4 linked regions of the Stegostoma tigrinum genome follow. The protein of the gene in region 2 interacts with the protein of the main gene of each other region in a pairwise test. Links are inferred from orthologs where the notes say so. Each region holds a gene or a part of one and is shown on either strand. Other genes may lie near its edges. The genes, in order: oip5, nup62l, filensin and xpo6.

Region 1 (7,504 bases), on a different chromosome or scaffold from region 2:
TCAGCTTGTGATTTCATTCTAAGATTTGATTTGATTTGATTTATTGTGGCCACGTGTACCCAAGTACAGTGAAAAGTTATTTTTGCGAGCAGTACAATCACAGGGTGCTTAGTCAGAGCGAGGCACACAAGGTAGTGACTGCACAGGAGGCGTACAAAAGCGAGGTCAACATTAGAATTGAAATTATAGAAGTCCATTCAACAGCCTGATAACAGCAGGGAATATGCTGTTCTTGAACCTGTTGGCGCATGTGGTCAAGCTTCTGTATTTTTCTACAAGATTTACAGAAGTAGGCCATTCAGCCCTTTATATCTGCTCTGCCATTCAACGAGATCATGCCTGATCTGATAATCCTTAACTCCACGTTCTTGCCTTGATGCTCCTCCTGATTAAAAATCTATCACCATTTATACATAGCTAACCTAACACTTACTCAAACATAACAGCATGTTCAATGGTAAGCTGCTACCGCAGGATTGCAGAGAATCTCCCAACACAGTGTGACATCTCTTGCACTGGAAGATCACACAGTCCTTCACCTTCAAGGACCCAATCACAACACTGTCCATCTAAACAGGGCACACAGGAAGAAAGAGAGAGAAAACAACTGATCAAATCAATCAACCATCGCAATTGGGATGTGCAAACCGAACTATATTGATGAAATATTCGGACTGTAAACACAATTAAAGTATATTTCAACATGTTATGAAGAAAACCTCAGGAATCCATAGAATCCCTACAGTGTGGAAACAGGCCTTTCGGCCCAACAAGTCCACACTGAACCTCTGTGCATCCCACCCAGACCCATCCCCCTATAACCCACCAACGCTACACATCCCTGAACACTATGGGCAATTTAGGATGGCCAATCCACCTAACCTGCACACATTTGGGCTGTGTGAAACCGGAGCACACGGAGGAAACCATGCAGACACGGGGAGAATGTGCAAACTCCACACAGACAGACACCAAAGGCTAGAACAGAACCTGGGTCCCTGGTGCTGTCAGGCAGCAGTGTGAACCACTGTGCCACCCCTGGAACTGGAGTAGCCATTAAACACAATGGCTACAAGAGCAGGTAAGAGGCTAAAAATCCTGTGGTGAGTATCCCGCCTCTTGACTCCCCAGAGCCTGTCCACGATCTACCAGGTACAAGTCAGGAGTGTGATGACATACCTCCCACTTACCTGGACAGGTAAGGCTCCAACAACATGCAAGAAATGTGACACCATCTAGGAAAAAGCAGCCCTATTTGAATAACACCACATCCACAAACATTCACTCCCTGCAATGCTCTTTAGTAGGGATGTCAACTATCAACACGATGCATTGCAGAGATTCACCAAAGCTCCTTGGATGGAACCTTTCACGATCACTATCATTTAGAAGGACATGGGCAATGGATACTATAAACACCACCACCTGCAACTTCCCTTCCAAGCCACTGTCCACACTGACTTGGAAATATATTGCCATTTCTTCAGTGTCACTGTGTCAAAATGCTGGAAATTCCCTCCTTAATGGCATTGTAGGTCAGCATATGGACTGTAGTGGCTCAAGGCGGCAACTCACCACTTCTCAGATAGGCAATAAGTGCAAGATCCACATACCACGAATGAAATGTTTAAAATCCTGACTATCAAATCCTACCAATGGAATAAAGTGACAATTTGCTGTAAACTCAGTTTCCTTTCTGTCTTAACGGGTAAAAGGAGAATCATTTTCAAGTTGTTGTGGGAACAAGTTAGAGGAAGCTTAAAGAGCTATCATAGAGCATGCAGATGAAAACTAAAAGTATTTTTTTAAGAAAACCCATCCTCAACAGTTTTTTCCAAGTATTTTACGCCTCAACTGCTTTTTAGGGTACTTCCAGAAAGACCACTATTGTATTGCCTATTCACTAGTATATTGCTTACCCAACCACTGTGTTCATCGCCACACTTTTTTTTCTTTCTTTCCTTCCTTCTTTTCACTGAGGGATGGTGTTGAATGTTGGAAGGATTTATAAGCTGAATAAGAACCTGTCCAGTGTTACGAACACTCCTTCCAACAAATCTAGAGTGGGACTTGAATGCAGTTCAGTGGCAGAAATGCCAGCAATTGAGCCACAGTACCTCCACTGCCCAGCAAGCATTTGGAAAACAAATCTTCTGTCTATCTATCTCAATTGCCACTGGGCTGTTCAGTCACTAACAATGCCTAGACTCCAGGTCCTACACACAATAGGTACAGAAAGAGCTGGAAAAACTCAGCAGGTCTGGCAGCATCTAGGACAGAGAGAGAGAAACAGTGTTAACATTATAAGTCCAGTGTGACTCTCGTGCAGAATGTTGCTGCAGCACTCTTTTTATTTTCAAAACCCAACAATTTGCTTTTATACAAGACCTACACAGATGGACATGCTGTCAATTAGCAGACACTGAAATGTTGCACCAGAGAATGTGATTAGCTCTTGGCTTGTGTCTAGCATTGGCACATGAAGATAGGTTATAAACATTCTTACACTTTGACACTTTAGCATTCGATATAGAGGCCCTTGGTATTGAAACCACAACCATTGAACATGCAGTTTAAAGAAACGACTAGCTAGCACATTAGTGGCCAAGTGGAGAAAAAGTGCTATTTATAACATTGGGAAACTGCTCCATGGAGCAAAATCTTACACTGAGACAAGATCAAACGTAGTAAAAGAAAAGGCTTGTTTAAAGTGACAGATGAAGTGTAAAAGGGATATGATATGCAGAGGCAATAAGCTGGCAATCCAGAGGCACATAGTTTACTGAGAAAATTGCAACAGGAGTTTATTAAAGGAGAGGGTACGGCTCTGGTTCCTCATAAGCCTCTTTGACCATGTTTTGGTCATCTGTCCTGCTACCTTTTCATTGAGACCCAGTTTTGGTAACTTCATGAGACATCTGGTCACATCGAAGGTGCCAGAAATAAGCTTTTTTCGGCTGTGGGCTGAAGCTGAGAGCTGACACGAACCAAATCTTCCCCTCTAGTCTAGGCACTGCAGCGCCTCTCTGTAACAACAAACCCGCTCAGTAACCCACTCCCATCTCAAAACCCAAAGGCACCATGCCCTCTTCCAGCCAGTTCCTCCGCCAGGGGAACAACAGTGAGACATGTTGTTATTGCTGCCGCTGCCCTTGGGGGGTTATTTTATTTTTCTCTCGGGGGAGGGAAGGAGGAGGAAGAAGCGAACAACACCCCAGCCACCATATGCCCCAGACCCAACCAAACCCCCTCACCTCCTCCTCAAACACGACCGTTAGCAAACGCGCGCCGCACTGCGTTCAAACCAGCGTACATGCGCAGTACGCCGTCTTCGCGGAAACGGGGTGGGGCGTGGAGAAAGGAGGGGGACGGAACAGAGTAGAGGAGGTTTTGTGGGGGGGGGGAGATGAATTAGTTGTATTCCAAATGGTTGTCCATCGCTGGATGTCAAACTGGTTGGTCTGCAGTCGCTGGGATTATCCTCTCTTGAATGAGGCTGTCGTGAAGTTTGCAATTGTTTGTCAGACTCTGACACCTCTCAAGTGTGGAGCATACTGAAAGATTTGTGCCTAGGTCCCCTGCAATGTCAATTCTCACTTCCTTCAAAATCCTTGGGGGCATCTCAACCAGTCCTGGGCGCCTTGTTCATTTTTAAGTACCAACACTTCTGCAGTTTCAATTTTGATCGGCCCTAGTGACTGAGTTCCCTGTCACTATGACCTTAGGGAGCATTTCTATCATTAGTAAAGACAGGTGCATGGTGTTCATTTAATACATTCTTGATACCTAATTGGCGCTACTCCACCTTTTATCAGCCTTTTACTATTTACATGGCCGCGGAAGACTGTGACATTTCCTTATGCTGGCTGTCAGTCTTTTCTTAGAAATCCTCTTTGCTTCTCTCATTTGCTTTTTGACCTTCCCTCCAAACCTTTGATATTCCTCTTGGTTCTCAATTTAACTGAGACTTGGCATAGGCACATCTTTTTTAATCTTAATTCCTTTCTCCTTTTTAATCCAGGAGCTCTGGATTTGTTTGTTCCACCTTCTCTATTTGAGAGGATGTATCTTGACTGTACCTGAACCATCTCCTCTTTGAGGGTATCCTATTGTTCAGTTACTACTTTTTCTACCAATCTCTGGTTCCAGTCAATCCTGCTCAACTCTGTTCTTGCCTCATTGAGGTGTCCTCTCTGCCATTGACTGATCTCACTGTTGCAGATCATTTTCCACCATCTAATAATACAATGGTCACTGTTTCCTAAACGTCCCCTCACTGACACTTGATCCACTTGACTTATCCTCATTTTCAAGAGCCAGGTCCAACAGTGCTTCCTTTCTTGTCAGACTGGACATCTACTCCCTTTGGAAGCTCTCTTGAACACAGTCCAGGTACACTTGAGTGTCCCAGTCTATATTTAGGTCATTGAAGTCTGCATTAAAACTATTCTAGAATGTTACCATTTGTCTATAATTTCCCTGCAGATTTGTTCCTCCACATCTTTCCCACTGGTGGCCTAGAAACTGCACCTAGCAACATAATTGTAACCTTTTTGTGTACCCTGGTTTTCTCCCTTACAATTCTCCCTTCATTCCCAAACCCACACTTTTATTGTCCATCCCTAGTTGTCCTTGAAGTGACTTGCTGGGCCTTTCAGAGTGTCAGGCACATTGCTGTGGATCTGGAATCACACTGATATGACAAAACCCTGGCAAGGTTCCCCAATTTGTTACACCCAGTTCCCTGGTGATGCTGCTAATTTGTTAGCATGGTTTCAGACAGAATACCCCAAATCATGAAGTTGTCGGATGAGCAGAGACAAAATTGGCTCCACGTCTTCACTCAACTTATTCAAGTTGATTACAGAAATATTAATTTAAAAACAGATCCTTTACCTTATGGAGATGGTAGGAACTGCTGATGCTGGAGTCTGAGATAACACAGTGTGGAGCTGGAGGAACACAGCCGACAAGGCAGTATCAGAGGAACAAGAAAGCTGATGTTTCGGGTTGGGACCCTTCTTCAGAAATCCTTCTCCCAGACCTGATTAAACTCGTGATTTCAAAGAGTCCAATTTAATCAGGCTTTCTTGACTTAACATAGAGTGAGTTTATTAAGTACCAAACGAAAGAAGAATTTGCAAACACTTTAAAATTAAGAGGTGAGAATATTATTTCTTTTTAAAAAGAGACATATGGGTCAGTCTCTAAACTGTTTCTGATGAATAGGTAGATGAACATTGCCAGCACTGCATTCGAGGCTACTGGTATCACTGACATTGCTGTTTGAGCAGTGGATTTCACAATTCTTTGTTCTGCAACAAACACAAAAGTGCTGGAGAAACTCAGCAGGTCTGGCAGCATTTGTGAAGAGAGAAACAGAGTTAAAGTTTAAAGTTTGGTATAGCTGTTTGTCTGAACTGAAAGGTGTTGAAAAATAGGTTTTATTGTACACTTTTGACAGAGGTGAAAGACACCAAGGGGGCTGATAATGTAGTGCAAAAGACAAAAAAAAGTTGTTAATAACAGAGAAAGAAAAGATAGGTTAAAAGGGTGTAAATTAAGATGTGAAAAGGAGAGCTTTGGCCCTTGTTACTAATTGCAAAGTAATCAAGAATTGGCGGTGGTGGAAGATAACGTAAGAAAAACAGAGTACGGACATAAAACAGTCAGTTTCTGAAGTTATTACATTCAATATCAAGACCTAGGGGCTGTAGATTGCCTATGTAGAAAATAAGATGTTTTTCCTTGAGTTTGCATTCTGCTTCTTTGGAAAATTGCAGCAGACCAAGGACAGAAATGTTAGCATGAAAGAAAGGTGGTTTGTTGAAATGGAATGCGCTGGAAGGTCATTCCTGTGGACAAAATTAGAGTATTCTGCAAAACGGTCATCTAGTCTGCATTTGGTCTAGCCATTGTATAGGAAACTGCACTGTGAGCAATGATTGGAATAGACTGGATTGAAAGAAGTGCAAGTGAAATGCTGCTTCGCCTGGAAGGAATTGGAGCTCAGGACAGTGAAGAGAGTGTTTTACACGTCGATTGACACTCTGATGAAGGGTCTAGGCCCGAAAAGTCAGCTTTTGTGCTCCTGAGATGCTGCTTGGCCTGCTGTGTTCATCCAGCCTCACATTTTGTTGACTCTGTAGTTCTGATTCCTTTTGACCTTGACTGGATTCCAGTATTGAGGGTGAGCGAGATTCATTTTGTTATCCTGTTTCCTTGTTCAATGCTTTGTAACACTTGGAGTGAGAGAAGGTAACACAGTGGTAAATAGGGGCTAGTTCTTTGTGTATGCCTATCACAGCACACTAAAGCTTGAACTGAGGCTGGTACATACAAGAGTTTTGTTCCACTAATACATTCCAGTGGAGTTGAAACTGGTTTTATAAATTATAAATTATTTATAAATTGTGCTCCTAAGATGCTGCTTGGCCTGCTGTGTTCATCCAGCCCCACACTTTGTTTTCTTGAATTCTCCAGCATCCGCAGTTCCCATTATCTCTTATAAATCATCTCCATGTTTGTTCTTCAAAGAGAAAAGCACAAAATGAGTGTGCAGTTTGGTCATCAATCCCTTATTATCTTTCTAGTCTCAAGAGATCAGTTGGCTCTAATCCCTCCCCCCCCCCTTTGAAGGGATGTTGTTTGAAGTTCCCTTTACATCAGTAGGTGTGAATTTCCATGGGCTTCTCCCTCTCTCTGTCCAGACAGGCACTTAATTTACATCTGCAGGAATATTTGACTATCAACACTCTTTTTAAAAGCACAATTAAGTTAAATTAAAAATGATCAGAGTACTTAGGGGTTCTGACCTAGGGTTGACCACTTTGTAGCAGAACAGGGCTAGAAGGCAGATTTCCATCCCTAAGTTACTTCATGGTTTTTTAGAGCAATTGAAAGCTCGTCTTTGTAATGGTGAATATGAAAGTAGCTTTCAGTTCCAGGCTTTCTAATTAATTAAATATTAATTCCATCAGATAGTGTGTTGGAATTTGAATCCTTGTTCCCAATGTTACTTTAGTAACATTGCCATTATGTCCCTACTTGACCAATGCTGAATGCCTGGGAGTTATCTGTAACAATAGGTAGATCTGAAAGAGAGAGGGTAGAATTTCGGTTGTAATCCACATGGAATAAGCCAGAGGAAGACAGTTACTAATGAAGGAACTGTAACTGTGAACTCCTGTTTTGCTAGACCTGATGAATAACAGGATGGGAAATAGAGAGCAGTTCAGGTAAAAGCGACAAACAAATCCGGTCAGACTTGAAAACCTGGTCAGAAATTGGAGCAGAACTTCTTAAAGGTCTGGATTTCTGCAAAAGAAATAGCCATGAATCAAATACTAACACAAATGCATGTAATTCTGTGGATTTTGTAAATCTGAAATAAACATTAAATGCTGGAATTGGTCACTAGGTCCAGCAATGGGAACAGTGTTTGCGTTTCAGGTGGTTGACTTTTCATCAGAACTGGGAAAGTTTGGACTTGCAGCAGGTATTA
Region 2 (7,520 bases):
AAAACCTCCGACAGCTGGCTGTGTGGGATTGCTGCCAAAGCTGAAGCCCATTGGTGTTGTGGTCTGGGCTGCCGATACAGAGGACATGGCTGGACAAGTGGTGGTAGTGGTACTGGTAGCAGGAGCATTACCGAAAGAGAAGCCAGAGACTGGGTTGCATCCTGTGCCACCAAACCCTAAACTTGGCTTGTTCACTCTGCAGAGAAAACATAAAGTTTAATTATTTGACAAAGATCCCTGTCTAATACCCAACCCATACCATGAAAAAACCAGGCCCTGTCAATCCTGGAGTAAGCACCGAACCACGAATAAAGCAAGATCTATCTATTCCGGAGTTTGAAATGAACCAGCAATAAAACAAGTTCAGCCAATCCTGTGGTAAAAAAACAAAAGAACTGTGGATGTTGTAAAGCAGAAGTTGCTAGGAAAGTTCAGCAGGTTTGGCCACATCTAAGAGAAATCAAAATTATTATTTCAGGTCTGGTAACACTTCCTGAGAACTGATGGTAGCTAGGGAAATGTCAGGTTTTAAGCAGGAAACAGGATTGGCTGGGGGGAGGGGGCAGACAGACAGACAGACGGGGGGGGGCAGGGGCCGAGAGGGAGAGCGGGCGTGGGGGGGGGGGCAGGGACCGAGAGGGAGAGCGGGCACGGGGCGGGGGGGGGGCAGGTGCCGAGAGGGAGAGCGGGAGAGCGGGGGGGGGGGGGGGGGCAAGGGGCCGAGAGGGAGAGCGGGCGCGGGGGGGGGGGGGGGCAGGGGCCGAGAGGGAGAGCGGGCGCGGGGGGGGGGGGGGCAGGTGCCGAGAGGGAGAGCGGGAGAGCGGGCGCGGGGGGGGGGGGGGGGGGGGGGGGGGCAGGGGCCGAGAGGGAGAGCGGGCGCGGGGGGGGGGGGGGGGGGGGGGGGCAGGGGCCGAGAGGGAGAGCGGGGGGGAAGGTTGCAGGAACAGCAACTCATATTCCGCCTGGGAACCCTGCAGCCATATGGTATCAATGTGGACTTCACCAGTTTCAAAATCTCCCCTTCCCCTACTGCATCCCTAAACCAGCCCAGTTCGTCCCCTCCCACCACTGCACCACACAACCAGCCCAGCCCTTCCCCCCCACCCACTGCATCCCAAAACCAGTCCAACCTGTCTCTGCCTCCCTAACTGGTTCTTCCTCTCACCCATCCCTTCCTCCCACCCCAAGCCGCACCCCCATCTCCCTACTAACCTCATCCCACCTCCTTGACCTGTCTGTCTTCCCTGGACTGACCTATCCCCTCCCTACCTCCCCACCTACACTCTCTCCACCTATCTTCTTTACGCTCCATCTTCGGTCCGCCTCCCCCTCTCTCCCTATTTATTCCAGTTCCCTCTCCCCATCCCCCTCTCTGATGAAGGGTCTCGGCCGGAAACGTCAGATTTTGTGCTCCTGAGATGCTGCTTGGCCTGCTGTGTTCATCCAGCCTCACATTTTATTATCTTGCATCTGTCATGTGTTTGCCTAACCAGCAGAACTTTCAGCCAATTTTAGGTCATGGCATTAAATAGATAGTTACTTAATACGAAATTGACTGAACGACATTAAATGGTAATTTTTAAATTAATTGTTTTCTCAGTTAAAAACTGTATCTCTGAATTTTTAAATGTAAGTGGTTTTTTTTTGGATCTGGACCAAGAAGAGAAACTCTCCAGAGCTTGCTCTTAGTACTCTTTCTTTGATTGACCATCTTGCAGTGAGAATCAAGCGATCTCCATTTGGCATCTAATGGCATCACCATCCCTGAAAGCTCCATCCAGATTTTGGGGCTTCCAATGCCCGTAAACTGAAACGCACAATCCATAGTGTTGCTCGAACAGTAGGTTAGAGGCTACAAATTCTGCAGCAAGCAACTCACTTATTGACTCCCCAAAACCTGTCCACCATCTACAAGGCAACAGAAACGTGACTGAATACTGCCCATTTGCCTGTGGGTATGCAACTCCAACACCAATGAAGAAGCATGAGAGCAACCAAGTAGAAACAGCCTGCTTGACTGACACAACCAGAAACAAACCCCCCCCGGATACATAGTGGCAGCAGTACATAAGATGCACCGCAGTAAGTCAACAATGGGTTATCTGACAGCACCTTCCAAACCTGTGACCGCTACTTCCTAGAAGAACAAAGGGCACATGAGAACACTTCCACCTGGAGGTTTCCTTCGGAGCCACTCAGAATCCTGTCTTAGAAATGTATTGCCATTCCTTCAGTGCTGCTGAGTCAAAATCCTAGAACTGACTCCTTAACAGCACCACGGATATCCATACACATCACGGACTGCAAAGATTCAAAACAGCTCAACATCATATACTCAAGTTCAACTGGGGATGGGCAAATGAGTGCTGGACTTACAAGTAACATCCACATCCAAGTAGGTCATGACAACACAAATTACCAAGACCTACGGTCAACCCATCTCCACATTTTCTCCCTCCAATATTGACATTCTCTGTTGAATTCCACAACACATCCATCCACTCCCTCCAGTTCACTCATCCACCGCCAGTCCAGTCTTTGGCTGTGAACATTAATGTGTAGGTACAGACTATGGCCTACCCAAGAGAGAAGCCTCCAGTAGTGGCAGTTGTTGCTGGCTGTGTTGGCAGGCAGAATCCAGTAGATGATGCGACTCCAGTAGTGGGAGTGCTGAACGAAAACAGACCAGTGCTGGGTGCTGAGGTGGCCGTTGTTGTAACCTGCTGGGGTGTTCCAAAGCTAAAGGTCCCTTGGGAGGCTGCAGTAGTGCTGCCAAAAGAGAACGCACTCCCTGTGCCTGCCGTCTTGGGAGCAGTGAAGGAGAAGCTGCCGCCTCCAGCCGGATTCCCAAAATTGAAGCTCATTTTGAAATCTAGAGAAAAATGGAAATTATCAGTCCACTGGTTGCAGCCTGTTAGGCTACATGCACACTCAACTAAGAGACTTAACCTCCTCCTTGCTCTAACCTACCCCACTCCATCCCCACATGGTCAGCAGTGAATTGAGGGGAATGTAGGTTAGGTTATTTTAGTTTTGGATTAGGATTATTCCACGGTACAACATCGTGGGCCAAAGGGCCTGTACTGTGCTGTTCTATGTTCTATCCCCATCCACCTCACCCGAAAACCCTGCCTCACCCCATTCTCCCATCCCACCTCTTCACCCAGCCCACCTCTCCAGATTAGATGTCTGTCTCTTGGGGCCGACTTGATGTTCTTGCGGTCTCACCTACCTTGGGGTTCCGGTCTGATTCACGGAAGATCCCCTATGCAAGAACTGGCGCAAACGACAATGGACTCTCTAGGCCGATACCGAAGCGATCTCGCTCCTCTTTTCGGCCCCCTCTATATCCGGCCCTAAATGATCCCGCTCTCTCACAGGTACTGTACGAACAACTTCGCTCGCTACACACCTCCCAAGCCCGCTCGCTCTGATTGGCGAAACCGTGCACCCATCCCCTCGATCCAGCATCGTCGCTGCTGATTGGGCCCCGAGGGCGGGAAGTGCATTGGTCCAGGGAGCTGTCAATCAAACCTAGCCGCCATGTCCATGGTTCCCATAGCGACGAGAAGATTCGCTGGAATAGTAAGTGTGAGGAAGGGAAGTGAGGGGTATAAAGGATGAGGGTGTAGGGAGTGAAAGAAATCGAATGAGTTAAAAAGAGAAAATTTGAGGCAGGGTGTGGAGAGGGAGAGAGAAAAGACATTGAGTACGTGAGTAAAGAGAAAGTTTGAGGGAGGAAGGGACAGAGACAGCGAGGGAGAGATGTAAGTGATAGAAGGAGGTAGGGAGAGAGTGAATGCGGAAAGAGTGCGAGGGAGTGTGAAAGGCTCATCAGTGGAATAGGCTTGACAGGATGAAGGTAGGAAGGATTTTAAGATGAGGCCTTCTGGGGAATGTGTAGTGGTAGGGAGAGAGGAAGGATGAAATATTGTTTTTTTTCTTAGTGTTTAAAGTATATTTTCTGCAATTGTAACATGTGCCGCATCATAATTTATCTCAGCGAGTAATTGCTCAGTGCACCTTTGAGACTACATATGACTTTGCTTCAGCTCCGAAACGTGTAGAACAGCAGATCAGTTATTATCCTAGTTTTTTTACACAGTGCAGTGTTTCTTGTCGCTTGCTTTACTTGGAATAAGTCATTAGCCTCTTGCCAGAGGCTTAGTGCAAGGGATGCCACTCCTCATCATGCATGGCTGACTGGAAAACTCTCCACTCTCACTGCCTTGGTAAGGAAGTCGGAAGGAATTTGCTGGTAGATGCTCCAACCTGTTTGGCCAACTTTGGCTTCTAAACAGCAACAGGGAGGTGGGGGTTTCAGTTGGTAGTTACTTTTTAAAAAAAGGAAAGCAAAGAGAACACATTGAGGAAATTCCAAAGGCAATTTATCAATGTATTGGGGGAAGAAAGTAACCAATGAAAGAGTTGGGACAGAAGTGGCCACATATATAGAGCTGAGGTTTTAAATGAGTACTTTGTGTCTGTATTCACTATAGAGTAAAAAATGAAGGTATATAAATCAACAAGGGGGGGTTGCAATATATTTTAATAAATTCGAAGAAGACACCAAAAAGGTTGATGACGGTAGAGCAATAGATATTGTTTATTTGGATTTCAGTGAAGCCTTTGACAAGCTTCCGCATGGTTAGGTCACATGGGATTCAGAGTGAGCTTGCCAACTGGATACATGATTGGCTTAATGCAGAAGACAGAAAGTATTGGTGGAGGGTTGCTTTTTGGACTGAAGACATGTAACCAGCCGTGTTCCACAGGGATCAGTTCTGGGTCCTCTCTTGTCTGATATTTACATAAATGGCTTGGATGAGAATAAAGGATGTTTGGTTAGTAAGTTTGCAGATGACACCACAATTGGTGGCATTGTTGACAGTGAAGAATGTTTTCTAAGATGATAGTGGGATCTTGATCAAATGGGTCAATGGGCTGAAAAATGGCAGGTGGAGTTCAATCTGGATAAATGCAAGATATTGCATAATGGTACAACAAACAAGGGTAAGACTTATACAGTTAATGGTAGGGCTTTGACTAGTGTTGTAGAACAGAAGGACCTAGGGCACAGGTTAATAATTCTTTAAAGTTTGCATCACATATGAACAGGATGGTTAAAAAGGCGTTTGGCATGCGTGCATTCATTGATTGGTTGCTCAAATTCATACTGTAGTAAACAGCGAGGAAAAAGCCTTAGACAGCAGGATGGTATGGATTTGTTGTTCAGATGGGCTGAACAAATAGAATTTAGACCATAAGACAGGAAAACAAATAGATCGTTCGACCCCTTGAGTCCGCTCCACCACTGAATGGCATCAAGGCTGACCCGATAATCCTCAAATTCATGTGCTGCCTTTTCTTTGTAGCCCTTGCCAATAAAATACTTGACCCAAAATCTTATATAGACGAACAAGTAAGAGTAGTAAAATGAGGAGTTTTGCCAATTAGAAATCGTAATGGGGATGTACGGACAGAGGCAGTGAGTTTGGCTGAGGTGTTTCATGAATACTTTGCATTTGTCTTTACTAAAGAGGGAGCTGCTAACTCAGACAAGCTAACTGAGGAGGAAACTCTGTCACTAGAAATACTTATTATTGATAAGGTGTAGGTATTGGTTAGAGAGTTGGTACTTAGATGGTGATAAGGCACTGGGACTGGATGAAATGCATCTGGAAATTTTAAAGAAAGTAAGCGTGGACATTGCAGGTGCCAGGACACAATCTTTAATCTTCCCTCAACTCAGGAGAGATGCCAGAAGGCTGGAGAATTGCAAACATTACAGTCTTTTAAAAAACATTGAAGGAGTAAGCTGAGCAATTACAGACCAGTCAGTTAACTTCAGTGAAGGGGAATATTTTGCTAACAATTATTTAGGATAAAATTAGAAGTAACATGCAAAAAGGTGGTTTGATTAGGAAGTATCAGTATGAGTTCCTTGAGGGGAAATGATGTTTTACTTCCTGAAAATTTTTGAAGAGCTAACAGAAAGGCATAAAAGTTGTCTGTTCATCACCACCTTCCTCACCACAAAACCTCTCTGAGAAGTTTGGTTCATTTAATAAATCAGTAATAAAAAGCAACTCTCTGTAATAATGACCATGCAATAGCCAGATTGATACAAAAGCCAATTTGGTGCTTAAATATCACTGAGAGAATAAAATCTGCTGTCATAACCCTGTCCGACTACGGGCCTGTGACAGTGTGGGTGACTCTCTAGTTGTCTTGAGTGAAGTTAAGATTGAATAATAAATACTAACCTTGCAGAGATGCTTTTGTCTCACTAACAGTTCAAGAGTATTATTGTCATGCCGTTCTGTTTTCCCTTTTCTCTTTCTTCTCCATCTGCCCCACTGTTTCACACCCCCCCCCAAACTTGCCTCACAATACTTAATTTGATGTTGCTCATCTCAAACATTAATATAAGGAATCTCACAGATTCATTCCCCACAATCCAACCTGTGCCCGAAGCAGGAATGTATGTGGACATCTGCAGTGCCAGGGTGTACTTACTGTTGACATATCAGCTGGTAAACTAACACAATTAGTGGTAAGACAGTATAAATTGGTTCTAAAAGAGGATCCTTTCTCTTGCAAATAGGGCGTTTATTCAGCTCTAACAAGGTAACAAGATGGATTTCACCTTCTCAGCTGACCACCTGCAAGCTTTGTCAAACCTGCTGTCCTGTTCAGATCGAGAAGAGGAGGAACTGGATGAGGAGGTAATTCTAAACATGTCCCGCAAACTTAGATCGCTAGACTGGATCAAGGCTTGGGGATTTGGTTTTATTCCACCTCTCAAAGAACCCTGGTCATTTCTCAAGGGATTTATGGAACTTACTATGAAATTTCCGGATAAGGAGCAGCTCAGCCTCTCTGTCTATATCTGACTGAATTGTTTGAAAATCTAAAATATCATTTGGCTCCCATTCATCTTCCAATCAATCAAGCCCTCAATTGAATAACCTTCTCAGTTTGTTTAAAATTAGTTATTTTTAATGTCAGGAAAAGTTACTCAGAATCACAAACCTCACTGCTTTTCTCAGCATGCTGTTGAATGATCTATCTCTCCATAAACTCACATAAATTGAAACTGAACTTCCAATAACTTGTCAAGTACAATTAACTACAGGCAGAGAGTCCTTTAATTTAATCTAATCTGAAAGACAGTTCCGAGTGTTGACCTGAAGAGTATCCTCAGGAATGGCATTTCAATCCAAGACTATCTTACCCAGAGACACTTCAGTTCATTCAGGAAATGTCAGTATTTTGGCCATTTGACCAGAGTTGAAAAGCTCACTACTAAAGTAGGTGATGGAAGGCAGCAGAATGGATTGACGTGGCGGTGTAGTTGAATGATGAATGTCGCACAATAGTTGCCAACAAAGTGGAGTAGTTGTGTGAGGATGATGCGAGACAGACAAGTGTGGCTTACTATAAGAGCAGATCTCCTGGCAGCGGTATCCCAACTTCAGTTACTCTTCAGATATGAAAGGTTGCATACTTCATTTCTT
Region 3 (7,760 bases), on a different chromosome or scaffold from region 2:
TAACTGTTTAAAATCGCCAGCTGCCTCTGACCAAAGATGCAGTGTGAAACCTGGAGGTGTGGCTTAAGTGGAATCTTCTGGAATTGCCCATTTGGATCTGGGACACTACTGGGAGAGACTAGCTGCCTTTTTGTCATGATTGAAATGTGCAGAAAAGGGCCATAACCCTCATGACCGCCCAACGTTTGAAGCATCCAAGAGGATGCTGGATGATTATTTGGATGGAAATGGCGTACAGGGAAATAGGGCAATGGCAGGAGATTGTGGCGAGGGAATAGAACTAGTGTAGGCATGATGGGCTGAATGGCTGCCTTCTGCCCAACAACAATTCAGTGATTCATTGGAACTGTCATCCAGACAGATACACTGTCAAAACTGTCAGAAACACTCACCAAAGGAAGCTGTCAAAGCATTTAAAAGTGCTGCCCCTCAAACCTTTGAAAGTACTGGCATAGGGCTGCCTGGTAGCTCAATGGTTCGCACTGCATTCTCACAGCGCCAGTGACCCAACCTCGGGCAACTGTCTGTGTGTAGTTTGCACATTCTCCCTGTGTCTGCGTGGGTTTCCTCTAAATTACTCCCACAGTCCTAAAATCTGCAGGTTAGGTAGACTGGCTGTACTAAACTGCCAACAGTGTCCGGAGATGTGCAGGTTAGCCATGGGAAAAATGTAGGTTGGGGGCGTGGGTCTGGTTGGGATGCTCTTTGAAGGGTAGGTGTTGACTCAATGGGCTGAATGGCTTCCTTCCACACAGTAAGGATTCTATATTTATAAATAATTTCTTGTTGTTTCACTCGGTGTGTCGAGAAACATTCCTGGCTTAGCGCAGTATGGCTGATTTCACAACTACACACCGTCACAGTGTCACAGTTACTTCAACCTTACAGATTTGACAGTGATAAGCGGTTTCAGGCTTTTTGATGTGAGGCATTGAATTGTAAGGCTTGCTGTACACGAACGAAATGTTTGTTGTTGTAAGGTTTTATCTTGTTGGCAGGATGCAAATACAATAATAGATTTTTGCGAAAGAGTGAATTTTTTTCAATGCCACAAAGTCTGCAATATGCACTTCAAACTTCATTTTATAGGGCTTAAGTCTCCCTCATCTTTGCTTGGTTGCTGAGGCCTACTCACGGTAGATACTAAGCAAATTGGCTGTTAGGTGTAAGGGCAAAGGGTGATAGGTGGAGGGAATGGGCTGCTACGAATGGAGAGCATTGCAGCAACATATACAAACATGGGGGTGGGTAGAAGCACATAGCTTGATATAGGAGAGTGTGACTGGCACAGAGTTGTTTGGGAACGTGTGTTGTCATGGATGGAATGTGGCGATCTTTCTGATTTTATTTCTAAGCATTGACGCAATGCCAAATTCTGGACCAGCCATGCCTTACAGCTCACTGTCGACCAGGCTGTGATATCCGTGGAACCCAGGACCCTCCTGAATCTGTGCAGCCCACCCAGCGGGCAAACATCCGCTTCGGTGGGAGATTCAGTACTGGGAAAGAAGTAGAGGAATGAGGGAGCAGGAATGTGAATGTGTAGGATTGGGTGAAGAGAGAAGGAGGGATGTCAAGAGAAGGGAAAGGAAATAATTTCAAACTGTTCTTGGTACCCAAGGTGTCGACACTGCCCAAAGGTGGCATCATTCAACTGCTGGGGGATTCACCCTTAAATCAAGCCTCCACCCCTCCCCCAACAATGCCCACACTATCTGACTAGAAAATGGGCGCACGTCTTTCCAATTTCTGCCTACGCTTTTAATACCTTCGAACTGGATCATTCCATTATTGTACAAAGTTTGCAATGAAACATTAGTGAGGATCACACTTTTGAGGAAAGTTACAGTTTACGGAATAAAAGGGACAGCAGCAACATGAAAACCAAATTGGTCAAACAGTCGGGAACAGAGTTTCATGGCCAATGCATATTTTTGGGGCTGGAGGAAGGTTTGTCAGGGAGTTCCCCGAAGTTGTGGTACTGGGACCCATGGTTTTCCTGATTTACATTAACAACTTGGATCTTGCTGTGCAGGGGACAGCGTCACATCCTGTGGATGACACGAAACTTGGAAGACTGAGGGGGACAGTGTGGAACTCTAAAGGGATTTTGATAAGTTGAGGGAGCGGGCAGATGGGAGGTAGATGAGGTCATGTGGGGAGAAGTGTGAGGTGATGCATTTTGATCAGAAGAACATTGAAATACAACATAACATAGGGTCAACAATTCCAAAGGGGGTACAGGAGCAGAGGGAGCTGGGGGTATATGTGAACAGATCATTGAACGTTGCAGGACAGAGAGAGGGAGCAGTTAATAAAGCTCACAGTGCCCTCAGCTTTATTAATAGGGCATGGACTACAAGAGCAAAGAGATGGTGTTGAACACGTATGTATAAGATGCTTGTTAGACCTCATCTGGGGTGTTGTGTACAGTTGTGGGCACCACATTATAGGGCGAAAAGTGAACAGGTCGGAGGGAGAGAGACAGTGTAGAAGCGATTTACAAGGATGATTCCAGGAATGAGAAACTTCACTGACGAGGATAGATTGAAGAAGTCGAGAGAAGGAGACTGTGAAAAGATCTGTTAGTGGTTTTCGAAAGCATGAGGGGGCTGGGCAGAGCCCATTGGGAGAAACTGTTCCCATTTCTAAAAGGAGCAAGAAAAAGGTGCAGATTTGAAGTGATGGGCTTGGGGCCGAAAATGAAGTAAGGGTGAGGTGAGAGAGAAATCCTTTTCATAGGGCAAATAGTCCGGGCCTGGAATGCACTGCCTGGAAGTGTGGGGGAAGCAGGTTCAATTGAGGCATTAAACTGGGAAAGTGCATGGTTATTTGGATAGACGGTGCGCTGGGACTTGGGGAAAAGGCAGACATTTGGCATTGGGGCACAGAAGCAGTGCCGGCAGGATGGGCTGAATGGCCTCCTTCTGCTCCATAACCATTCTGTGAGTCTAAGAATTACTTTGAAGGGGTATTTTTTTGTTTTACTTGGTGCTGGGCTATACAGTGAACAAGAGACAAAAAGTAACAATGAGAGTGAGTAAAAGGGAGAGAGAAGTTACCTGGTGTGAAACAGCTCCAAGATTTGCTTCATGTCCTTCAGCTCCTTCTCCAGCATGTTCAGGTCCCTGAGTAGCCGCCAGAGACTCTGCTGCTGTTGGTCGATCTGTTCCATAAAGACTCCCCCCAGACCCGAGAGTTCCTCGATCTGCCTGATACTCTCCACCTGTTTCTCCAGTGTGGCGCTGCTCCTCTCCAGGGCCCGGGCCCGGCACACATAGCTCTCAAAGCGCTCTGCAAACTTCCTTAAACTGCCCAGCTCTGCTAAACCTGCCTCACTCCCCTCTCCCTCCCTCCCCAGCCCACACAGGGAGCTCACTCCGAACATCCCAGGCACAGAACGGGCTGGCTCTGTCAGCTACTGTTGGACAAGTTATTTCAGACAGAGTGGCAATTGGAGAATCTGAGATAACAAGGTGTGGAGCTGAATGAACACAGCAGGCCAAGCAGCATCAGAGGAGAAGGAAGGCTGACGTTCCGGGTCTGGACCCTTCTTCAGGAAAAGTTAGACTGATTCACAACACAGGAGGAGAGACTGGGTAAAACTCCCCTCAGACAGTGTGCACGTATCCCCACCGCACAGCACCCCTCACTGTATATGAAGGGCTGGAAAATACCTTCTGATGAGAATAAATAAGAGTTCAGAACAACGCAGAGCTCCGCATAATTGTGCACTGCCCCTGTTAATTGTCCGCCCTTTCCAGCAATTATACAGGGACATTGTCAACGCATTAATTCTGCCTGGTCAGAGCTTTTGACTGATCAGCAGAGCCCGGGCATGTGTCTCCACAAACAAAACATTCCAGGGGACCACACACACAGTCAGCTAAAACTTGCAAACTAAGAGCTGACGGGGCGCTGAATCTTCCAGGGGCGAATTTCCATGAACATGGGGATCAGCAGGATCATTGTCCCTGTGCAATGGGTGGGACAACAGGAGAAGTTCACGTGGGGTGAGCTGAAGTTCAAAAGGAGGCTCAGACGACTGGGGGGACACACACTGTCAAAGAATCAATATTCACGGTGCAAAAACTAGGAGTTGCTGGAAAAGCTCAGCAGGTCTGGCAGCATCTGTGGAGGAAAAAACAGAGCTAACGTTTCAGGTGCGGTGACCCTTCCTCAGAATTTTATTCATATTAACGAGTGGCGAGGCCAGGTCTGCACGCTCCTCCCACTCTGCCCTCTTACCCATTCTGATACTCACCGCCCATCAGTGTTGCCCTGCCCTGGGCCATGTGCTCTGGAATTCCCTCCCTAAACGTTGTGTCTCTCTCAGGGTGCCGGGTAATGCTCTGGGCTGGCAGTTGGGAGGGCCAGATCAATGCACCCAGGGGACACAGGTTCCAGCTTCACGGGGAGCCAGCTGACTTTAAAGCCCCCGGGGCCCCATGCCCGGCCCCCTCAGTTTTTATGCAGCCAGTTGAGGGAAACATGCAGGGTGCATTTTTGGAGCTGGCCTCATTGCACCCATGGGAAACCAAGGCGTTCAGGTCAGCAAACATTATCCCCCCCACCCCCCAATCCTGAAGCTCAGAAATTGTCACAATCCCCTCACCCAAAGTTGCGGTGGAATCAGCAGCTGCTGGTTGGCGGACAGCGTGCTGTCAGCAAGCCTTCCTTCCCCGACAAAAACAGGATTTGCTGGAAAAGCTCAGCATCTTAGCACCAAGAGACAGCAATAGACTCACATTCCCTCAGAGTCCCTCAGACTATCAGGAGCCAGAGGGAGATATATCTGATGGGCGCCTTCCCTCCCAGACAGAAGCAGAAATTGCTGGAAAAGCTCAGCATCTGTGGAATAAAGAGTTAATGTTCCAGGTCCAGTGACCCTTCCTCAGGACTTCCTTCGCTGATCTTTCTGATCAGCCTGCTCAGGGATGTTAGGGCTTGCCTCTGGAGCGGATGAGACTTGAAACCAGGACACCTGGCTCAGAGGTAAGGACATCGCCACTGCATGACAAGACCCCTCCAATACTTCTGTCTGGTAAAGCTGGAAGGGGATGCTGCACTGATGAGTCCTAACAAGAAGAGGCATTTAGTCTTAGCACGAGAGTTTATCACCTGACAGCAGTAGATACACATTCCCTTGGCCAGTTAGGCAGACTACTGGGAGCCAGAGGGAGACAAATCTGATGCTCTTGGGACTTCTGGTTCCCCACCCTTGACTGTGTGCGTCAACAGATTTGGAGGAGCCTCATACAAACCTTAACCCTTTCAGAACCGTTACCAGCAAGAAGGAACAGAGTGAGGGTGGTGTGTGCGAGGTGTGGTAGTGGAGGGGCTGTGAAGGAGGAGGACACTGTTACACCAGGGAGTCTTTCAGACACAGCTCCATGACAGTCATCTGTACCCTGAAATTTCACCACCCACCCCCCCTGCCCTGCCACCGCGCCCCCCCCCCTCACTTGGGTCCCTGCCTCCATAACCTTTGAAAAGCTTTGGTTTGAGTGAGAAGTCACACAACACCAGGTGCCCCTTCGTTAGGTGATGAAGGGGCTGCATTCCAAGGTTGCGAGGGCGGCACGGTGGCTCAGTGACTAGCACTGCAACCTCACAATGCCAGGGACCCGGGTTCAATTCCACCCTCGGGCGACTGTCTGTGTGGAGTTTGCACATTCTCCCCGTGTCTGCGTGGGTTTGCTCCGGCTTCCCAAAGTCCAAAGATGTGTGTGCTAAGTGGATTGGGCATGCTAAATTGGCTGTAGTGTTGAGGTGTGTAGGTGAGGTAGGTTATCGGGGGATGGGGCCTGGATGGAATGCTCTGAGGGTCAGTGTGAACTTGTTGGGCTGAAGGGTCTGTTTCCACACAGTTTGGGATTCTATGATCTATGATTTCAAACAAACCTGTTGGAATGTAACCTGGTGATTTCTGACTCTGTCCCCACCAAGTCCAACACCGGCACCTCCACATCTTGGTTCATAGTGGACATTGACTGAACATTAAGGGTTTTAACTGGGAAGGGTCTTTCATCCACACTCACACTTACTGTCAGCTTCAGTTCTTGTGGGGAGGAGTTGGTTCTGAAGAGGGGTGACTGGACCCGAAACATTAACTTGCTTTCTCTCTCCACAGAAGTTGCCAGACCTGCTGAGTTTCTCCAGCTTTTTTTTTCAGATTTCTGGCATCCTCAGGATTTTTTAGGGGTCATTTCGTTTTGTTTAATCAGATGCTGCGGAAGTTCTATGCATCATTAATCAAAGCCTAACAAATACAAGCTCATTAAAATAGCATGTTTGAATTTTGAATGTTCCTGTTATTTATTTTACTGTGGGTTGTAAATAACAAAGGACAGTGTTCGATTCCAGTGAAAATAAGAGACAAAATGAGATTATAAAATGTGAGGCTGGATGAACACAGCAGGCCAAGCAGCATCTCAGGAGCACAAAAGCTGACGTTTCGGGCCTAGACCCTTCATCAGAGAGGGGGATGGGGAGGGGGAACTGGAATAAATAGGGAGAGAGGGGGAGGCAGACCGAAGATGGAGAGTAAAGAAGATAGGTGGAGAGAGTGTAGGTGGGGAGGTAGGGAGGGGATAGGTCAGTCCAGGGAAGACGGACAGGTCAAGGATGAGGTTAGTAAGTAGATGGGGGTGCGGCTTGGGGTGGGAGCAAGGGATGGGTGAGAGGAAGAACAGGTTAGGGAGGCAGAGACAGGCTGGGCTGGTTTTGGGATGCAGTGGGTGGGGGGGGAGAGCTGGGCTGGTTGTGTGGTGCAGTGGGGGGAGGGGACGAACTGGGCTGGTTTAGGGATGCAGTAGGGGAAGGGGAGATTTTGAAACTGGTGAAGTCCACATTGACAACATTAGGCTGCAGGGTTCCCAGGCGGAATATGAGTTGCTGTTCCTGCAACCTTCGGGTGGCATCATTGTGGCAGTGCAGGAGGCCCATGATGGACATGACATCTAGAGAATGGGAGGGGGAGTGGAAATGGTTTGCGACTGGGAGGTGCAGTTGTTTGTTGCGAACTGAGCGGAGGTGTTCTGCAAAGCGGTCCCCAAGCCTCCGCTTGGTTTCCCCAATGTAGAGGAAGCCGCACCGGGTACAATGGATGCAGTATACTACATTGGCAGATGTGCAGGGGAACCTCTGCTTAATGTGGAAAGTCATCTTGGGGCCTGGGATAGGGGTGAGGGAGGAGGTGTGGGGGCAAGTGTAGCATTTCCTGCAGTTGCAGGGGAAGGTGCCGGGTGTGGTGGGGTTGGAGGGCAGTGTGGAGCGAACAAGGGAGTCACGGAGAGAGTGGTCTCTCCGGAAAGCAGACAGGGGTGGGGATGGAAAAATGTCTTGGGTGGTGGGGTCGGATTGTAAATGGCGAAAGTGGGGAAACCAAGTGGAGGCTTGGAGACCGCTTTGCAGAACACCTCCGCTCAGTTCGCAACAAACAACTGCACCTCCCAGTCGCAAACCATTTCCACTCCCCCTCCCATTCTCTAGATGACATGTCCATCATGGGCCTCCTGCACTGCCACAATGATGCCACCCGAAGGTTGCAGGAACAGCAACTCATATTCCGCCTGGGAACCCTGCAGCCTAATGGTATCAATGTGGACTTCACCAGTTTCAAAATCTCCCCTTCCCCTACAGCATCCCTAAACCAGCCCAGTTCGTCCCCTCCCCCCACTGCACCACACTACCAGCCCAGCTCTTCCCCCCCCACCCACTGCATCCCAAAACCAGTCTAACCTGTCTCTGCCTCCCTA
Region 4 (8,008 bases), on a different chromosome or scaffold from region 2:
ACCTTTCAATAGTAGGCTTGCAGGAGGAGGGTCATAACAGCAACATTTAATCAATAGTCTTGATGCTGCTAGCAAAGGTCATGGTATCAAACAATGATTCAAGAGGCGAGGGAGACAGGAGAGTGGTCTATAACAGTTAGCTTTACAGAAAGTAAATATTGCAGGTTACCTTTGCATTTCTGGATTATCTTGAAGTACCAGAAGTTTTAAGTAAGAGTTACTGAATGCTGTAACGTTCTTGATGAGCCGAATGGAGGGTGCAGGAAAATGGCTTCAAAGTTGAGATCATTCACAATCTCAAACAACTAAATGGCCTACTCCTTATGGCTTTATGAATTTTTTTATTGAAATACATGCAGATTAGGGAGAATGCAATGACATTTTACTGAGATTTTAATACAGTCAATAAAAAAGTCTCTTTTTTCCCCCCCCTCTCGCAACTGTCAACCAAAGATTTTTTTTCCAAAACAGCAAATGAGCAAACTATTTCCATGCAGAAATTGAGACGTAGAACATAACATGGTAGAAAACGGATCCACCTAGTTACAGAAGTGAGTTGAACAGGTACACAAGGTGAAGCAGAGATGTGTTATTGACCTTGCGCTGATCTTAGGAGAAAAAAAAAAGCAGTTGTGAATGACCGGCCAGAGTTTCCAGAGCAAGCTTTGCCCAGTGGCAGATTGTTGATTTTTCCTCCACACCCCTCCCCACAACTTAGGTTCCAGTTGTGGAGGCCTGGAGTCATCAGCATATTAGGAGCTGACTGGCTATCAACCTGTTCAGATATGTAATTACACACCTCTGGAGGTAGGACTTGAACCCAAGCCTCCTGACCCAGGAGGTAGGGACACCACCATAGCACACAGGAGCCCTATACCTTCTGTCTCTATCGCTCACACATACTGTCCAATGCTCCAGCGGTCTGGATAGGTTGATAGCTCGAGGCAAAAGGTCTCCAGACTCAAGACAGCATCACGCACACTTCCTTGAGAATTAAGTAACCAAGAACTAAAAGACACTTAGCTATTCTCTCCCACCATTTGCTCCAGTGACTTGAGAAACTAAATAATTAGTTGTTAGCCATTCAGTCTCTTCAAGGAACTAAAGCAACTGCACACATAAAAGGTGGCCAGATTGCAACAACCTGAAAGAAACAAAAAAAGGTACACCCCTGAAGTCCAGAAACCGGTGCAATTGAACCACGTTTCTCCAATTTTCTTTCTCCACCCATCATTGCCATGCTTGTATGTTTCTGTGTGCACATGCTTAAGAGGTTAGACTTCCAACTCCAGGATTGTGTTGATTCATGTTTTTTGCTTGCCTGTGATTAAAATTGATCAAAGTGGTTCTTGTCAAATACAGAAACTGGGTCAGGGCTCTGTTAACCCGAGTTCAGACAGGACAGTTGGGGATGTTGAGTTAGTTGATTAAGTTTGTGACCACCGAATGTAGTTGGTCTTAATGTCAGCACACTTTCCTCAGGTGGGTTTATGACAAAAAAGTTATGAGCATAGGAATTAGGTTAGATGCCAGAATTATTTGCTTCCAAAAAGATTAATCGACTTTTGTACTGGCTGCCAGATTGTGTAATGATGCAGGTTTGTTGCAAAAACTAAATCAAGAAGGGAGCTAGACAGGCTGCTATCAGAAGCTGATATCATTTTGCACACAAAAAAAGCAAGATTCTTGGTCAGCACAGACTACATTTAGTTTTAAAATGGCTCAGTTGGGAAAGAATGCCTCAAGTATTTTCCTCCAGAACATTTCTTTAAGATAATTTTTGGCCCCCTCCCAGAATACTAGATTCCTTTTGTTAAGTGGAGACAAGAGTGCTTTATTATGATATCAACCATAATCAGTGGACTAGCTGATCTCTCGTGTGCATAAAAAGCTTAAGTGGGTTCAGGAGATGATGATACATTTTTGCATAAAATGCTGATCAACTACTCTGACAAACGTGACAGATTAGGGACAAATCAAATCATTTTGTGGACATATGCAGTGCTTCTGCTCCACTTTCAAGCTACATGTACATTTTACAGAATCTAGTCATAGAAATCACTTCACTTTTTGCAGTCTATAACATCTTTCATTTACATTCCATTTAAGACTTAAAACTAGATTATTATCCTTTATAGCAGCCTCTCGATGAAACAATTGTTTTCTAGTGAATCCAACTTGTTATTTGATAATAAAACAGATTCCTGAAATGCATCTGTGCCTACGTATAAGTCACAGGAGCAATGTCCACTGATTCCATAGCATATTACATTAACTTTTTGCAGGGTACCACAATCTTGAGCAATGTATTATTCTAAAGCCAAACTTTCCAAAGAAAGGATCTGACTAGAATAGCACAGTAAGGCAGTGATGACTATCATGGAACTTTTGGTTCTGATGAGTGTATCCCTGCTTTCAGTTCTCACTGAGGGGGTCACAATTTTCAAGCTTCAAAATGGAGTCTCAGCAAACAAACATTTGGGCAATACTGCTCTAAAGGCTACCCTCAGAAATCCTGCAGTCAGTTGAGAAGTGTGCACGATCATGGGAGAACCTTTTTAATTGTTATGCAGGGAACCGACACTGACACATTAGCAACTAAGAGTGATTCTAAACGAAGCAACCATTACCCTGATTACAGGGCAGAACGGATTTAAAGGAGGAGTTGAACGGCCTCTTCCCTTCCTAATGTTTTCGGTACCCAATCAAATCTGCGGACAGTGGCACAACAAATACCACAACACCTTCCTTAAGAACGTCAGCAGAACTCATTCTACTTGATGTATGGAAGGTATGCCTCCCCACCGCACTTCCTTGATGAAAAACATGAGAATTGGTTGCAACTGCCTCGGAAAGAGGAAGGGAAGCTAGCCCCATAATGCAGAAGGGCTTGCTACAGAGAAGGGAGACGTTTCCGTAGAAGGCCCACAAAAGGAGAGCAGCCTTGGCGTTTCTTCTGACAATATCAAGTCCAATGGAGCACGCAGGGTACAAGAGACAAAACGAGGCCGCGTACTCACCATAGTTGAAATACGATCTCTTCCCTGTCCGGCTCATACTCCGAGTATCCAGCACAGCCCCTTTAACCCAGTGAGGACGAATGTTGAGCCGCTATCCGTCGCTGCGTCTCTTGGTTCTTCGGGCCTAGTCATCAGGCCCTTCCCGCAACATTTCCGCCCCCAGCCCCGGATCCGGTTCCGCCCTGGCGGGAGCGGGCCGGCTCAGACCGGATTGTGCCAGATCCCAATGTGCATGTCCATTGGATGGCTGCAAATGTGTATTATGATTGGTCAATTCGATTGAAAGGTAAGTTTCGATTAGCCGCTGTGGAAAAGGGCGGTGACATACTTTTGATTGGTTGGTAGCGCTTGGTCACATGACCACGGCTTACCCTGTACGTGCAGTGCTTGCTATTTGGCACCGAAGTAAAATTTAGTTTATCTAAGTTACAGATAAAAATCTTTCATGAAACTGTCTTATAAAATACATTTTCGTTGTTGCATCTTTAAGCCCCCTTTTTAAAAAAAAGTTACATAAGTGTACAGTATAGAAGACGTTTATTGCAATACTTTTGAAGAAGCGATTATATAAAGTAGCCATAGACCCAACTGTTTCAATGGAGGGAGACAACTGGTGATGGTTTAACCAGAGGGGAGAGGTTAAGAAAGTGGGACCTTCGTGATGACCTCAGCAAAAACAGGGCTGGAACCATACTTGACTTCAGTTTGCAGTGCTAACCAAGCCTCCAGCCAACTGTGCTAAGATGCCTGTAGATGTTATTTATGAGGAAATCCTGAAGGCAATTTTCCAGGCCTAAAGAATAGGTCAGTATAGGGATGAGTAGAAATCTGAAGAAAAGAATTATCAAAATTGTGATTTGGAGCATTGTTAAAAAGGGCTGAAACATAGACAATGAGAAAGCATACATCTAAAGTTTATAAAGTTGTGAAATAGTTTGATGGGACAGAACGTGAGCAATGAAAAAGTTCTTAGGACGATGGATGAAGAAAGATTATTGCTCAATATTTTCAAGAAAAAAATAAAGTTCTTTGTGTTTTTGTGCATCCCTAACTGCCCTTGATGTGACTTTCTCAAACTGCTGCAGTCCATTTGTGCAGATTCATCATCAATACTGTTAAGAGAGCATTTCTTGGATTTTGATTAGAATTTTGTGTGGCTTAAGTGGAACTTTCAGGTGGTGGTATGTATTTGTTTGCCTTGGTGGTAAAGGCTTGGAGGTGTGTAGCTTGCTGAATTGTTGCAGTGTATCTTGTATGTTGTACAGTTCATCAGGGTTGGAGGGTGGGAGTGCTAACCGTAGTGCATAGTGTGCCTGGATGATGTTGAGCTTCTTGAGTATTTTTGAAGCAATAATCAATTAGGAGAGAATTCCTTCTTTATCAGTCACTAATGTGGGACTTTGTCAAAAAGTCATGCTGAAAACCATATAAACTACATTAATTGCAGTACTCTCATCTACACACTTGAAATCCTGAATCCTGAAAAAATTCAACCAGATTTGTTAAGTGTCATGCCACCCTTACAGCCATGCTGACTATCTCTCACCAAACTTTGACTCTCTAAATGGAAGTTAATCCTCTCCTTCAAAAGTTTCTCCAAAACATTCCTGCCACAGATGTCAATTTACAGGTTTATAATTCCTTAATTTATCTTTACCATTACTTTGTATTAGATCCTATGTGTGCTAACTTTCTGCTATGAGATCCTTACCAAATGCATTGTTGAAGACCACATAGACCGCATCAAATACATTATCCTCATCAATACTCATGGTTACTTCCTCAAAGGATATGATCAAATGTGTTGAACACAATCTTCGCATAACAAATCCATGCTGACAAACCCTTATTAATCTGTCTGTCCAAGTGCATATGTATTTAGTCACTCAGAATTCTTCCTAATAACTTTCCCACCACCAAATAGGACTGACTGGCCTGTAATTTCCTACAGGTCAATGTTAGCAGTCCTCCAATCTTTTGGCATGTCTCCTGTGGCCACAAAGGATTTGAAAACTTTGCCAGTGCCCCGAGATCTCCTCTTCTGCTTCACTCAACAGCCTGAGATACATCACATCCAAGCCTATGGATTTTTCTACTTTTAATGTTGCCAATAGATCTACTCTCTCCATGTCTTTCACCCAGAGATGTAAACCTGTGACATCCCTTTCCATTGTGAAAAATGACTAGGAACATTTGTTAACGATAATTTAACAAACCGGATCCAAAATAGGTTTAGTGGGAGGATACAGAGGCAAATGGTAGAAGAGCATTTGTGTGACTGGAGGCTGATATCCAGTGGCATACTACAAGGATCAGTGTTGGGTCTCTTATTGCTGGTGGTATATATAAGTGATATAAATGAGAATGTAAGGAGGCATGATAACTAAGTTTACGCGAAGCTTGGGTGGATGGTTGACAGTAAGGAAGAAGAACTTAGGCTACAGGAGGATATAAACAATTGATCAGATGGGCAGATCAGTGGAAAATAGAATTTAATAACCTTGATAAGAATGAGATGATGCACTTTGGAAGAAGTTACAAGACAAAGGATTACTCAATAAATGATAGGATACTAGGAAGCTCTAGGTACAAAATAATCGATGTGCTTGTCCAGAAATCCCTGAAGGTGGCAGGGCAGGTTAATAAGATAGCTAAGAAGGCGTAGCAGTGCCTTTGTCAGTCGAGGCACAGATTATAAGAGCAGGAAGGTTATGTTGGAGCTGTACAGAACTTTGGTTAGACCACAGCTGGAGTACTGTGTGCAGTTCAGGTCACGACACTTTAGGAAAGATGTGATTACACTGAATTGGGTACAGAGGAGATTTAACAGGATTTAACCTGATATGGAGTCTTTGGCTATGAAGAGATGCTGGAAAAGCTCTAGTTGTTTTCTTTAGAGCAAGTAAGATTGAGGGGGTGACCTGATCGTAATGTATAAGGTTATGAGGGGCATAGAGAGTTGAACAGAAAGCAACGGTTCCCCTTAACAAACAGAAGCAGTGCAGTACTGTACAGTACAGGTCCTTCGGCCCATGATTTTGTGTCAACCGATTATCCTACTCTAAGATCAACAACCCTGCATACTCTATATCCATGCGCCTATCCAAGAGTCACTGAAATGTCCCTGATGTATCTGACTCCACTACCATTGCAATGCTGGCAGTGCATTCCACACACCCACCATTCTCTGTGTAAAGAACCCACCTCTGGCATCTCACCGATACTGTCCTCCAATCACCTTAAAATTATGCCCCCTCGTAATAGTCATTTTCTGCACAACTGCTAATGTGGTATATTGTATCCACTGTTCCCGATGTGGCCTCCACTACATCAGGGAAACCAAGCGGAAGCTTGGAGACCGCTTTGTGGAACACCTACGCTTGGTTCGTGACAAACGACCACACTTCCCAGTCGCGAAACACTTCAACCTCCCCTCCCACTTCTTGGACGACATGTTCATCCTCGACCTCCTACAGTTCCACAACGATGCCACCCGAAGGCTGCAGGAACAGCTCCTCATATTTCACTTGGTAAGCCTGCAGCCCAATGGTCTCAATGTGGACTTCACAAGCCTCAGAATATCCCGACCCCGACCTCATCCCAAAACCAGCCCAGCTCGTCCCCACCTCCTTGACCTGTCCATCTTTTCTTCCACCTATCCACTCCTCTCACCTCATTGACCAACCTCCTCCTCCACCTCCTACCTACCAGCCTCATCCCCATCTCCTTGATCTGTCTGTCTTCCCTTGACTGATCAAACCCCATCCTAACTCCCCACCTACACTCACGTTTACTGGCTCAATCCCCGCCTCCTTGACCTGTCCATTTCCTCTCCACTTATCTGCTCCTTTATCCACTGTCCATCTGCCTCCCCCCCGACCCCGCCATTTATTTCAGAATCCCCTTCCGCTTGCCCACTTCTGAAGAAGGGTCCAGACCCAAAACATCAGCTTTGCCAATTATACAGACATGACTTAATGTGTAAAGAACAGTTGTCATCAGCATGTTGCTGTATTGTAGTAATGATGCATAAGAATGCCAGGGAAATTCATTAGCAATGTTTTCAACTTAATTCTCTGGGAGGATCATTGAACAAATCTTTCTTGAAGCCAACTCCAACAGCTGTGAAGTCAACTTCAATGAACTGGACACTGTCTGAATGGCTAAAAAGCATTTCCCCTAACAAGACTTGTTCTTTCAACTCTCAAAAGACCAATGTTCGAGGGGAAGTTAAAGAAAATGCTTTAAAACAGTCTGAAGCTTTTTTCAAAGAAGTGAAACAACATTGATACCAATATCCAGCAGTAGTTTGCAACCAAATTTTCAAAATAGTGGGAAATTGTCCATTAAGCTGTGGCACATGTTGAATCATGATGCCTTGATGATGAGACAGATCCACAGCAGAAAAGGAAAGCAAATGAAGCAAATCCTGCTCTCCACATTCTTCATTCTGTCCAATGTGGAGAAAGATTTGTGAATCAAGATTTTCAGTCACGTGAAGACCCATGGCAGAAACACACTGAGCACACGACAACCTGAAATCAACAAACATTGATGAGAACTACAACTGACCAGTCACTTAAACTCCATTTACCTTCCCTTGATGGCCTTATTTAACAATAATCTATTCATTTCAATCTTAAAAACACCATCTGATGCTTAGCATTCAATAACATTTCTTAAGGGAGAAGGGAAGCAGGGCAGGTTAGGGACTGTGGGTTGGAAGCAGAGTTCCAGACTGATGCCACTATTTCATGTGAAAAAAATTTCAATTTCTTGATTTTTCTCCTCGGTGTTTAGCCTCAACTTTTAAGATTGTTTCTGTTTTAACTTTTCCATTGAGGACATTCTTTGTTTTTACCTACACTATTGATTCCTTTTAACATTTACAAATACCTCAATTAGATTACCTTTCAATCTTCTATACAGGAGGGAATACAAGTTTATGCAACGTTAGCTCTTTCAATGTAATTGTTTATCAGTTTTAA

Evidence for each region.
Region 1: the proteins of nup62l (region 2) and oip5 interact in binary tests that used the Homo sapiens proteins (3 or more experiments, as listed by UniProt). The two-hybrid records come from large-scale screens. The link is inferred for Stegostoma tigrinum from reciprocal best matches to the Homo sapiens genes NUP62 and OIP5.
Region 3: the proteins of nup62l (region 2) and filensin interact in binary tests that used the Homo sapiens proteins (3 or more experiments, as listed by UniProt). The two-hybrid records come from large-scale screens. The link is inferred for Stegostoma tigrinum from reciprocal best matches to the Homo sapiens genes NUP62 and BFSP1.
Region 4: the proteins of nup62l (region 2) and xpo6 interact in binary tests that used the Homo sapiens proteins (3 or more experiments, as listed by UniProt). The link is inferred for Stegostoma tigrinum from reciprocal best matches to the Homo sapiens genes NUP62 and XPO6.

Annotation. Positions count from the first base shown.
Region 1 is NC_081363.1:84,907,585-84,915,088, forward strand, and holds the start of oip5 (protein Mis18-beta), read right to left. Parts: upstream 3,327-7,504; 5' UTR 3,255-3,326; intron 570-3,254; coding exon 434-569; intron 1-433. UniProt on the Homo sapiens protein: Required for recruitment of CENPA to centromeres and normal chromosome segregation during mitosis.
Region 2 is NC_081368.1:73,415,557-73,423,076, forward strand, and holds the start of nup62l (nucleoporin 62 like), read right to left. Parts: upstream 3,421-7,520; 5' UTR 3,233-3,420; intron 2,873-3,232; 5' UTR 2,865-2,872; coding exon 2,581-2,864; intron 197-2,580; coding exon 1-196. Other genes in the region: dnaaf6 (protein PIH1D3), read left to right, coding at 6,639-6,728. UniProt on the Homo sapiens protein: Essential component of the nuclear pore complex. The N-terminal is probably involved in nucleocytoplasmic transport.
Region 3 is NC_081362.1:4,879,948-4,887,707, forward strand, and holds the start of filensin, read right to left. Parts: upstream 3,389-7,760; coding exon 3,063-3,388; intron 1-3,062. UniProt on the Homo sapiens protein: Required for the correct formation of lens intermediate filaments as part of a complex composed of BFSP1, BFSP2 and CRYAA. Involved in altering the calcium regulation of MIP water permeability.
Region 4 is NC_081376.1:32,158,920-32,166,927, reverse strand, and holds the start of xpo6 (exportin-6), read right to left. Parts: upstream 3,247-8,008; 5' UTR 3,024-3,246; coding exon 3,021-3,023; intron 1-3,020. UniProt on the Homo sapiens protein: Mediates the nuclear export of actin and profilin-actin complexes in somatic cells.